Mus musculus: one gene and its partner. The protein of the gene in region 1 interacts with the protein of each later gene in a pairwise test. Links are inferred from orthologs where the notes say so. Each region holds a gene or a part of one and is shown in the gene's direction. Other genes may lie near its edges.

What was found. The genes of interacting proteins can lie anywhere in the genome.
Region 2: the proteins of Sptbn1 (region 1) and Sh3bp5 interact in a two-hybrid assay, tested with the Homo sapiens proteins (2 studies listed by BioGRID and IntAct). The link is inferred for Mus musculus from reciprocal best matches to the Homo sapiens genes SPTBN1 and SH3BP5.

Annotation. Positions count from the first base shown.
Region 1 is NC_000077.6:30,216,973-30,221,164, reverse strand, and holds the start of Sptbn1 (spectrin beta chain, non-erythrocytic 1), read left to right. Parts: upstream 1-1,392; 5' UTR 1,393-1,438; coding exon 1,439-1,586; intron 1,587-4,192. UniProt on the Homo sapiens protein: Fodrin, which seems to be involved in secretion, interacts with calmodulin in a calcium-dependent manner and is thus candidate for the calcium-dependent movement of the cytoskeleton at the membrane.
Region 2 is NC_000080.6:31,387,601-31,391,100, reverse strand, and holds part of Sh3bp5 (SH3 domain-binding protein 5), read left to right. Parts: intron 1-3,217; coding exon 3,218-3,382; intron 3,383-3,500. UniProt on the Homo sapiens protein: Functions as a guanine nucleotide exchange factor (GEF) with specificity for RAB11A and RAB25. Inhibits the auto- and transphosphorylation activity of BTK. Plays a negative regulatory role in BTK-related cytoplasmic signaling in B-cells.

The DNA of each region.
Region 1 (4,192 bases):
TCTGTTTCCACATGGCACCAAGAACTATCCTTTAGAATCACATCCACCAGTGGCCGATGCTGACTCAAAGGTCATCATCAGCCAAGTCTGATGAGCTATGCAGGGGAGCCCTGTCTAGCTCCCCTAGCCTTGTCTCTCCTTACCTTTCCCTCTGCACACCTGACTCCAACTATACTGAGCATACCTTGGTGTACCTTTGTCTGGTGTGCCATTCTTCTTGATCTGGCCATGATCTGTACCTTTTAGACACCGAGACCTACACTAAGCAGAGTATTTATTTCTGACCAGTCTAAAATAGCCAGTTTCAAATTCATCTGTTTGTATTTTATTTTCCTTAAACTCTCTGGCTTTTGTGTGTGTGTGTTTTTGGTCTCCCTTCTATGAGGATGTAACACTTGTGTCATTTATTGTTCTCCCCAGGAATCTAGAGCACTGCTGATCATGTAGTAATTCCTCAATATGGTTGGGTTCTGCATGTGAGTAATAGCTGTATTGAATGGAGAAACTGTATTTAAAACTAAACATATTTCTCTTGATCCTCCAAGAATACATTGATAAAGTGAAGACTTTAGTGAGCCAGAGCTTATTTCATAGTTATTCCTTAAAAAAAAAAAAACCCACCATTATCCTCAAGGGCTTTAAAGGAGTGGGCATTACTATTGGTATTGGTCCTAGAATTTATAGTAACAATGGTATAAATAATTATAATACCTATTGAGTATTTACTATGCATGGATACTATCTTTGTTGCCATATGCTTCCATCTTAACCTTAGGCATCAATTCTAATATGTAAATGAGACATAGAGACAGAATGATTTGTTAGTTTTTCTTATATAGTAGCTTATGAAGGAAAAACTAAACGGTAATAGACAATAAAACTAAGGGAATTCACTTAAAAAGATCCATGTAGATGCTGATACAGCCCTGATAAAACATTAAACCTTCACCTTAAACTTTTTTGGTTCATTTTGCTCTGTTTTGGTTTTTTTCAAGACATGGTTTCTCTGTGTAGCCATAGCTGTCTTGTACTCCAGGCTGGCCTCAGACACATAGAGATCAGCCTGCCTCTGCCTCCTGAGTACTGGGATTAAAGGTGTGCACCATCACTGCCCAGACACTTTAAACTCCTTTAGGAAAGAACATTAATTTGGCACCCAGTGTTTCCTTCAGTCTTCTCCCTCCTCCGGGTTTGGGGAAAGCATTAAAGTAGCATGACCGAGGTCACACATGTGCTATGAAGCAGAGCCAAAGTTCAGAACTGGCCTTGGCTCTAGAAGGCACATCTGGACAAGCAGTGACTGTCCTAGTTTTTCCTTATTATCACCCCAGCAGGTGTATAGAGGATGTACACTTTGTATACACACCTGTGCTTTTCCTTTTTTACTCACAGAACTCTGAAAAGTAACTGATGTGGACAAGCAGCTGAGACAGTCAAGATGACGACCACGGTAGCCACAGACTATGACAACATTGAGATCCAGCAGCAGTACAGTGATGTGAACAACCGCTGGGATGTGGATGACTGGGACAATGAGAACAGCTCTGCAAGGCTCTTTGAGCGCTCCCGCATCAAGGCCCTGGCAGGTAAGTGTCCTGATGTTGTATGTCCCACCTGTCACCAGATGTTCTGTAGTCCCTTGAACATCAACCATTTCTCTTTTAAGCTGTCTTGCTTGAAGTTGACCTCTCCCTGCTTTAACATATCCTATGAGAGCTTGCTTACCCTTTTATAAGACATTTACTTTTGGAGAGCTGCCGAACTTAATGACCAACATAGTTTAGAACACAGTAAATAATGTTTACAGCAATTTAGAAAGAGCTGCTAAGAGTTTGTAAGGATTTTTTAATTCTAACACATCTTTAATTTCAAGTGTTTTAACATACTATATTTATATAAAATATCCAACTTGGCTGTATACGTAATGCCAGTGGCAGATTAGCTGATCTTTTCGGTGAGAGGTTGGTAAGTACCTTGTTACAAGGGCTTTAGATCTGAAAAGTAGCAGTGTCCTGTGGGAAGGCCATATTTAATGCTGTTAATGAGTAGGTTTGCCACTGATCATTCCCATTCAGTTTCATTTTCTAGAGAAAAACCATGCCAGGTAGATGTTAAGTAGTTATTCCAATTATATTCTAGTTTACGATACAAAGTCTATTATAATAGGTGCCTTGATTATTAAATTGTAAGTTTGTCAGTACTTTTGACATGATTCACATGAACTAGAAACCCACAAGAAAGTATTCAGGAAACAAGGGAGCTAAACATTTATTCTGTGTCTGCTGATTGGATTCTTTGAAAAGAATCCTGAATTCATGATTATTTTTAGTCAAGTCATTTCTGTTTGCCAAGAATAGAGATGCATGTACTCTGAATTAAAGAGATGTGTTTGCTAGTAGAAAACACAGTTGTTCAACATGGACAGAGCCCTCATTTCATCCTTGCCATACAAAAACAAGTAACAGCAGCAGCATGTGATAGAATTAAAGGAGAATAAAGGGATTATCGTAAAATATCAGACAGGGGCCAGGTGTGGTGGCCATGCTTTTAATCCTAGCACTCAGGAAACAGAGGCAGGCAGATGTTTGTGAGTTTGAGGCCAGCCTGGTTTACCTAGCAAGTTTTAGGCCAGCTAAGATTGATGTGGTAAGACACTGTCTCAAATAAGAGAAAGAGAGATGGATGGAGGGAGACAGGGAAAGTGGAGGTTGGTCTCATGCAAAGCAGGCTCAACAAAGCCATGTGCTAACTGCTATAGGACAGTATCTCAGTTATTCTTCATTTGTTGGAGCCCTCCACTTAGTAACTGCGCCTTCATAATTTGTCTTACACCAGACTTGGGTGCAATGTAGATTCAATGAAACCTCAGTGCAAAATTATATTTATAATTTAATTGACTTAATAACCCAGTTTCCTTTTAGTACAAATTTCTGTAAGATTGGGTGTGGTATTGAAATTCTGTTTGGCCCAGATATTTATATAGCAGGCCATGGCTAGCTGGAGACTTACAAATGATTGCCTTTAAAAGAGGCAGCTTAAGACTGGTGCAATATTGCCCACCAGCCCTCCCAACCCAAGTTTGATCCCTGGGACCCACATAGTGTCAAGAGAGAATTGAGTCACAACAGTTTTTCTTTGACCTCCACACCATGCCGTGTCATGTGTGCAAATCTTTCCTTCAAATTAAAAATAAATAAAGACAGACAGACAGGAAGGAAGGAAGCCAGCCAGCCAGGTAGTGATGTGCATTTCTTTAATCTCAGCACTCAGGTGACAGAGGCAGGTCTGAGTTTCAGACCAGCCAGGTCTACAGAGTGAGTTCTAGAATGGCCAGAGCTACACAGAAAAATCCTGACTGACAAAAAAAAAAAAAAAAGATCAATCAGAAAAAATATATTTGAAGAAAATGTAGCAGTGCTACCCAGCGGTCTGTCTGTCTAGAGGTGTGGTTGGTGTGTTCAGAGCAGATAATTTGTAGATTAGAGAAAGAAGGCTTTTATGTTAACTTTTTAAGGGAGATTAGCATATTCTGCATGAAGATAAACCATCTGTGAAAGGAAACAAGGTGCAAATTGGCCCCAGAACAAGAGAGACTTAGGTAAATAAACAAGTCTCTTTTTAGCCTCCTTCTGTGAGTGCCTTACCCCCTGTAGTGGTCTTCCAGATTGCAGGAAGCCTGACTGCTGTATGCTGAGCGTCATTGCTCATCCCTTCCCTTTTGCCTCTTGTCAAATTCTAGTTGGAAGCACTGGTGTGTTGGGATTGGAGGGAGGCTTTGGGCACTGAGCTGTGACTGGGCTATAGCTATGTTAGAACACAGAGCCCTTTGGAGATGTTCTCTGCAAAAGCTGGTGGCTCTCAGGGAGATGGCACTAAATGGCACTAGGCAGCAGAACAGTCAAGTAGATGCTTGTTTTCAACTCAGAGATAACATTTTACAAAATGGTAAGATTACAATAACCATTAACTGTTTTCCTTTAAGAGAAAAGAAGCAGAAGTGGATACCTCTCTTTAAAATCCTGGAAATTCTTGAAGAGAAATGAACCTTATACTGTTAGGCCTTTAAAATAAGCCTCTACTGAAGTGCCCAATACTAGAACTGCTCCAGGTCTGGTTTGGTTTGTTCTTTACAGTGCTGACATAAAAATCCGTGTGTTATTTAATAAGGCAACAAAAACACTTACCACATATC
Region 2 (3,500 bases), on another chromosome or scaffold:
CACCTATTGTCAACCTCAGGCTTCTACACACGTGTGTCCATACTATACAAATGAAAAAATTTGTGCACACATACCACCATACTTGCTACAAACAACAACAGCAAAAAACCCACAAGGCCGGGTGTAGATGGGAAGTAGAGACAGGAGGATTATGGCAAGTTCAAATCCAGCCTACTCTATAAACCAAGTTCCAGTCCAGCCAATGCTGTCTAATGAAACCTTAAAGGAAAATTAAGTGGTTCGACTCATCTTTGTAATCCCAGACTTCAGAAGGGTGAGGCAGGAGGATTTGCTTGAGTTTGAGCCCAACCTCAAAGCCTCAAAGAAGATTTAAAAAAAAATTAGATAGATAGATAGACAGACAGATAGAGCGATAGATATAAATAGATAGATAAATAGGTAGATGGATGGATAACGGAAGAAGGGGCAGAGAGATCCCATTTTAGAAAATGTTGGGTCTCAGGGGGTGAGTCCCTGTGTCAGAGCTGTGGGAAGGTTGTGGGTATACTGAGATAGGGGGATGGGTCACAATTCACCTTCCTTAAGCCTGCCCAGATCTCCCTTCTTGCCTGTCTGGAGAAGTAAGATGGGCAGGAGGCTCAGCTTGGGGAAAGAGTGCAGTTGTCAGCGTGGTACAGTTACTTCTCAGTGGCTGGTTGGTTCTAGAGAGGGTGTGCATCCCCACCCCTATATGTGCTTCAGGCTACCTCAGGGGATGTAGATGGCTGGTAGGTGGGCATTCATTTAGGCTTCTATTACTGTTATTGTTATTAATTTTTTTGAGACAGGATCTTGATGTACAGCCCAGGCTGGCTTTTTAAAATGCTCCTTTCCGGGCATTATCAGATCTCCTACAGACCCTTCAGAGTCTTAAGTGCTCCCCTGACCTCCATCAGCCCTGAGTTGGAGCTCCTGCCTGCCCTTCAGGCCTCTCTTTAGGAAAACCTCCCGCAGTTTCCTCTTATGTGAAGCAAGTTCCATTCTCCTGCCCTGACCCAATCTTGAAGCATAGATTTCTACACATCATCTACATGTGGGGCGCAGTCCCCAGAATGGATCTCTCTGGGCTGTGGGTGTGCACAGACCAGACAAGCGGATGCCCGTTGTGGGTTACCATGGGTTACCGGGCTGTTTCTTCCCCCAGGGCTGCTATATTCTCAGCTGTTCCTCTTAATTTTCTTTGCAAAATGCCCTCAGTCTATGTGAAAATTTCCTCTAAGTCATGTGAGGCTTTCTCTGGGGAAGGGTGGGGTCCGCTTGTTCCCCTCCTAAGTCCCAGGGACTGTCCTGGGGCTGTCCCATTAGGGCTTCTGTAATTGGCCCAGGGACCCTGTTGACTCTGGAAGTGGTCTGGGGCAGATTAGCAGGAGCCATGTCCTGCCCCTACCCAGGTGGGAATTTGGAGGTGAGCTGGAGGAGAGAGGGGCCAGCAGTGACTGCTTTCAGGGGAGTGTGTGCTTCAGTGTGAGTGTGGACACCAGAGGATGCACTCCAGGGGTCCTCACTGAATACCTTGTTTGAGATAGGGTCTTGTTTGCCTCTGCATTCACCACACCAGTTGACCTGGTCTGTGAGCATCTGGGGGGATTCTGCTGTCTCCGCCATTTCCCCTCTGACCCTGGAGCACTGGGTTTCGGATGCGTGCTACTGGGTCTGGTTTTACATGGATTCTGGGGCCCTGAACTTAGGTCTTCACGCCTGCACAGCAAGCGCTTTTCCTACCAAGCCATCTCCCCAGCCCTGTGTCTCATGCAGTCACATGACATAGCCCACTCTTGAGGGACGAACATCAACAGCCCTAAAGTAGTAGAGAGTCACCTATGAGGAAACAAACAGCGGAAATTAATTTCAGTCTATTGGATTTAGTTTAGTGTATCTCATCATTGATCAAAAAAATGGCTAATGGGATAATCAACATTTTTCTACTGAGTCTTTAAAATGAGGTGTGTGTGTGTATTGTGCATGTGTGCATATTCACATGTGTGGCACATGTGTGAGCAGGTAGGTACTCATGAATATGTGTGTGTACGTGCTTGTGTGTGAGTGGGTATCAGGAATCGTCTACTTCAGGTTTTGAGGCAGGGTCTCTCAGTCAAGCCCAGGACTCTAAGAGTCAGCTAGTCTTTCTAACCAGCTTGCTTCAATAACCTCCTGTCCTTATTTCCTGAGCTGTGGCAGCTGCCACACCTCCCTGGCATTTATGTGAGTTTTGGGGATCTGAGCCTCCGGTCCTCCTGCTCGTGTAGCAAGCACAGCAACTTCTGAGCTCTCTCTGGGCTGTGAGAGATGTTTGCATTTTCTTGTTAATCACATTTAGATGCTCAGGGGTTACGTGCTGGCCTGAGATTGTTTAATCAGTACAGTGCTGGCTGTGCAAGCATCCCCAGAACCTGCGGAAGGAAGCCAGGCAGGAATCCCAGAGCCGGAGAGGTGGCTGGATCCTGGGGCTCTCTGGCAGCAGCCTAGCCTAACAGGGGACTTCCCGCCAGTGAGAAACCTTGTCACAGAAAACAAGGCTCCTGAGGAGTGGTCTCCAGCATTAACGTCAGATTTCCCCATGTGCACATGTCTACATGCAGACACATGCGTTGGCGGCTGCTGTTTGGGCTGCTGTTTGTATTGCCTCTTCCTTCCTGAAAGCAGGGCTTGTGCTCTCAGTAGGCCTGGGCCTGGGTGTATATGTGGACTGAGGGGGCTGTCTGGCAGTGGACGTGCTAGGCTGGCACTCGTGCTGTGGGGCATTTGCCTGGAGCCTTGCTTCTGATCAGCTTTGGAGTCTCGGGAAAAGCTGTTTTCAATTACTGTGCCTCATCTGTAGAGCGGAGCCCTACAACTGTGGTCTCTGGAGCACTTTGGGCTGTGGCGTGCAGGGAAGATGCCCAGGACTGCTGTGCCTATCTGGGCATCAGTCCTAAGCCAGGACTTTGGGGAAAGGCTTAATTAGCCATTGCCATCACAGATGCAAGATCCATGCATCTGATTATCTGTTGAGCTCCAGACTGGAGACTGTCTGCCCACCGACCTGGTATTCACTCAGCCACTGGCCACCTGCTATCCCGTCCCACATATGAGGGACCTGTCCCATGCAGCCTGTCCAAGAGGGAGGCAGAGATGGATAGGTCAGATCTCGGGCCACTCATCTCGGGGGGTGGGAGCAATGGACCTCAGGGAGTCCTGGCCTTTGCCTCAGGCCTTACTAGACCTTCTCTCTCAACAGGCTCAGCTGGAGGCGCAGAAGGCCACACAGGACTTCCAGAGGGCCACCGAGGTACTCCGTGCAGCCAAGGAAACAATCTCTCTGGCTGAGCAGCGGCTGTTGGAGGATGACAAGCGGCAGTTTGACTCTGCTTGGCAGGAAATGCTGAACCATGCTACTCAGAGGGTAGGCGGGACCTGTGTGCGCTGGTGGTGGGGACCCAAGCCACATGCTGGATGTCCTTTGGCTCCCCCACAAGAATAGAGACAGGTTTCTAGGCAGCATGAAACCCTCCTGTAAAGGT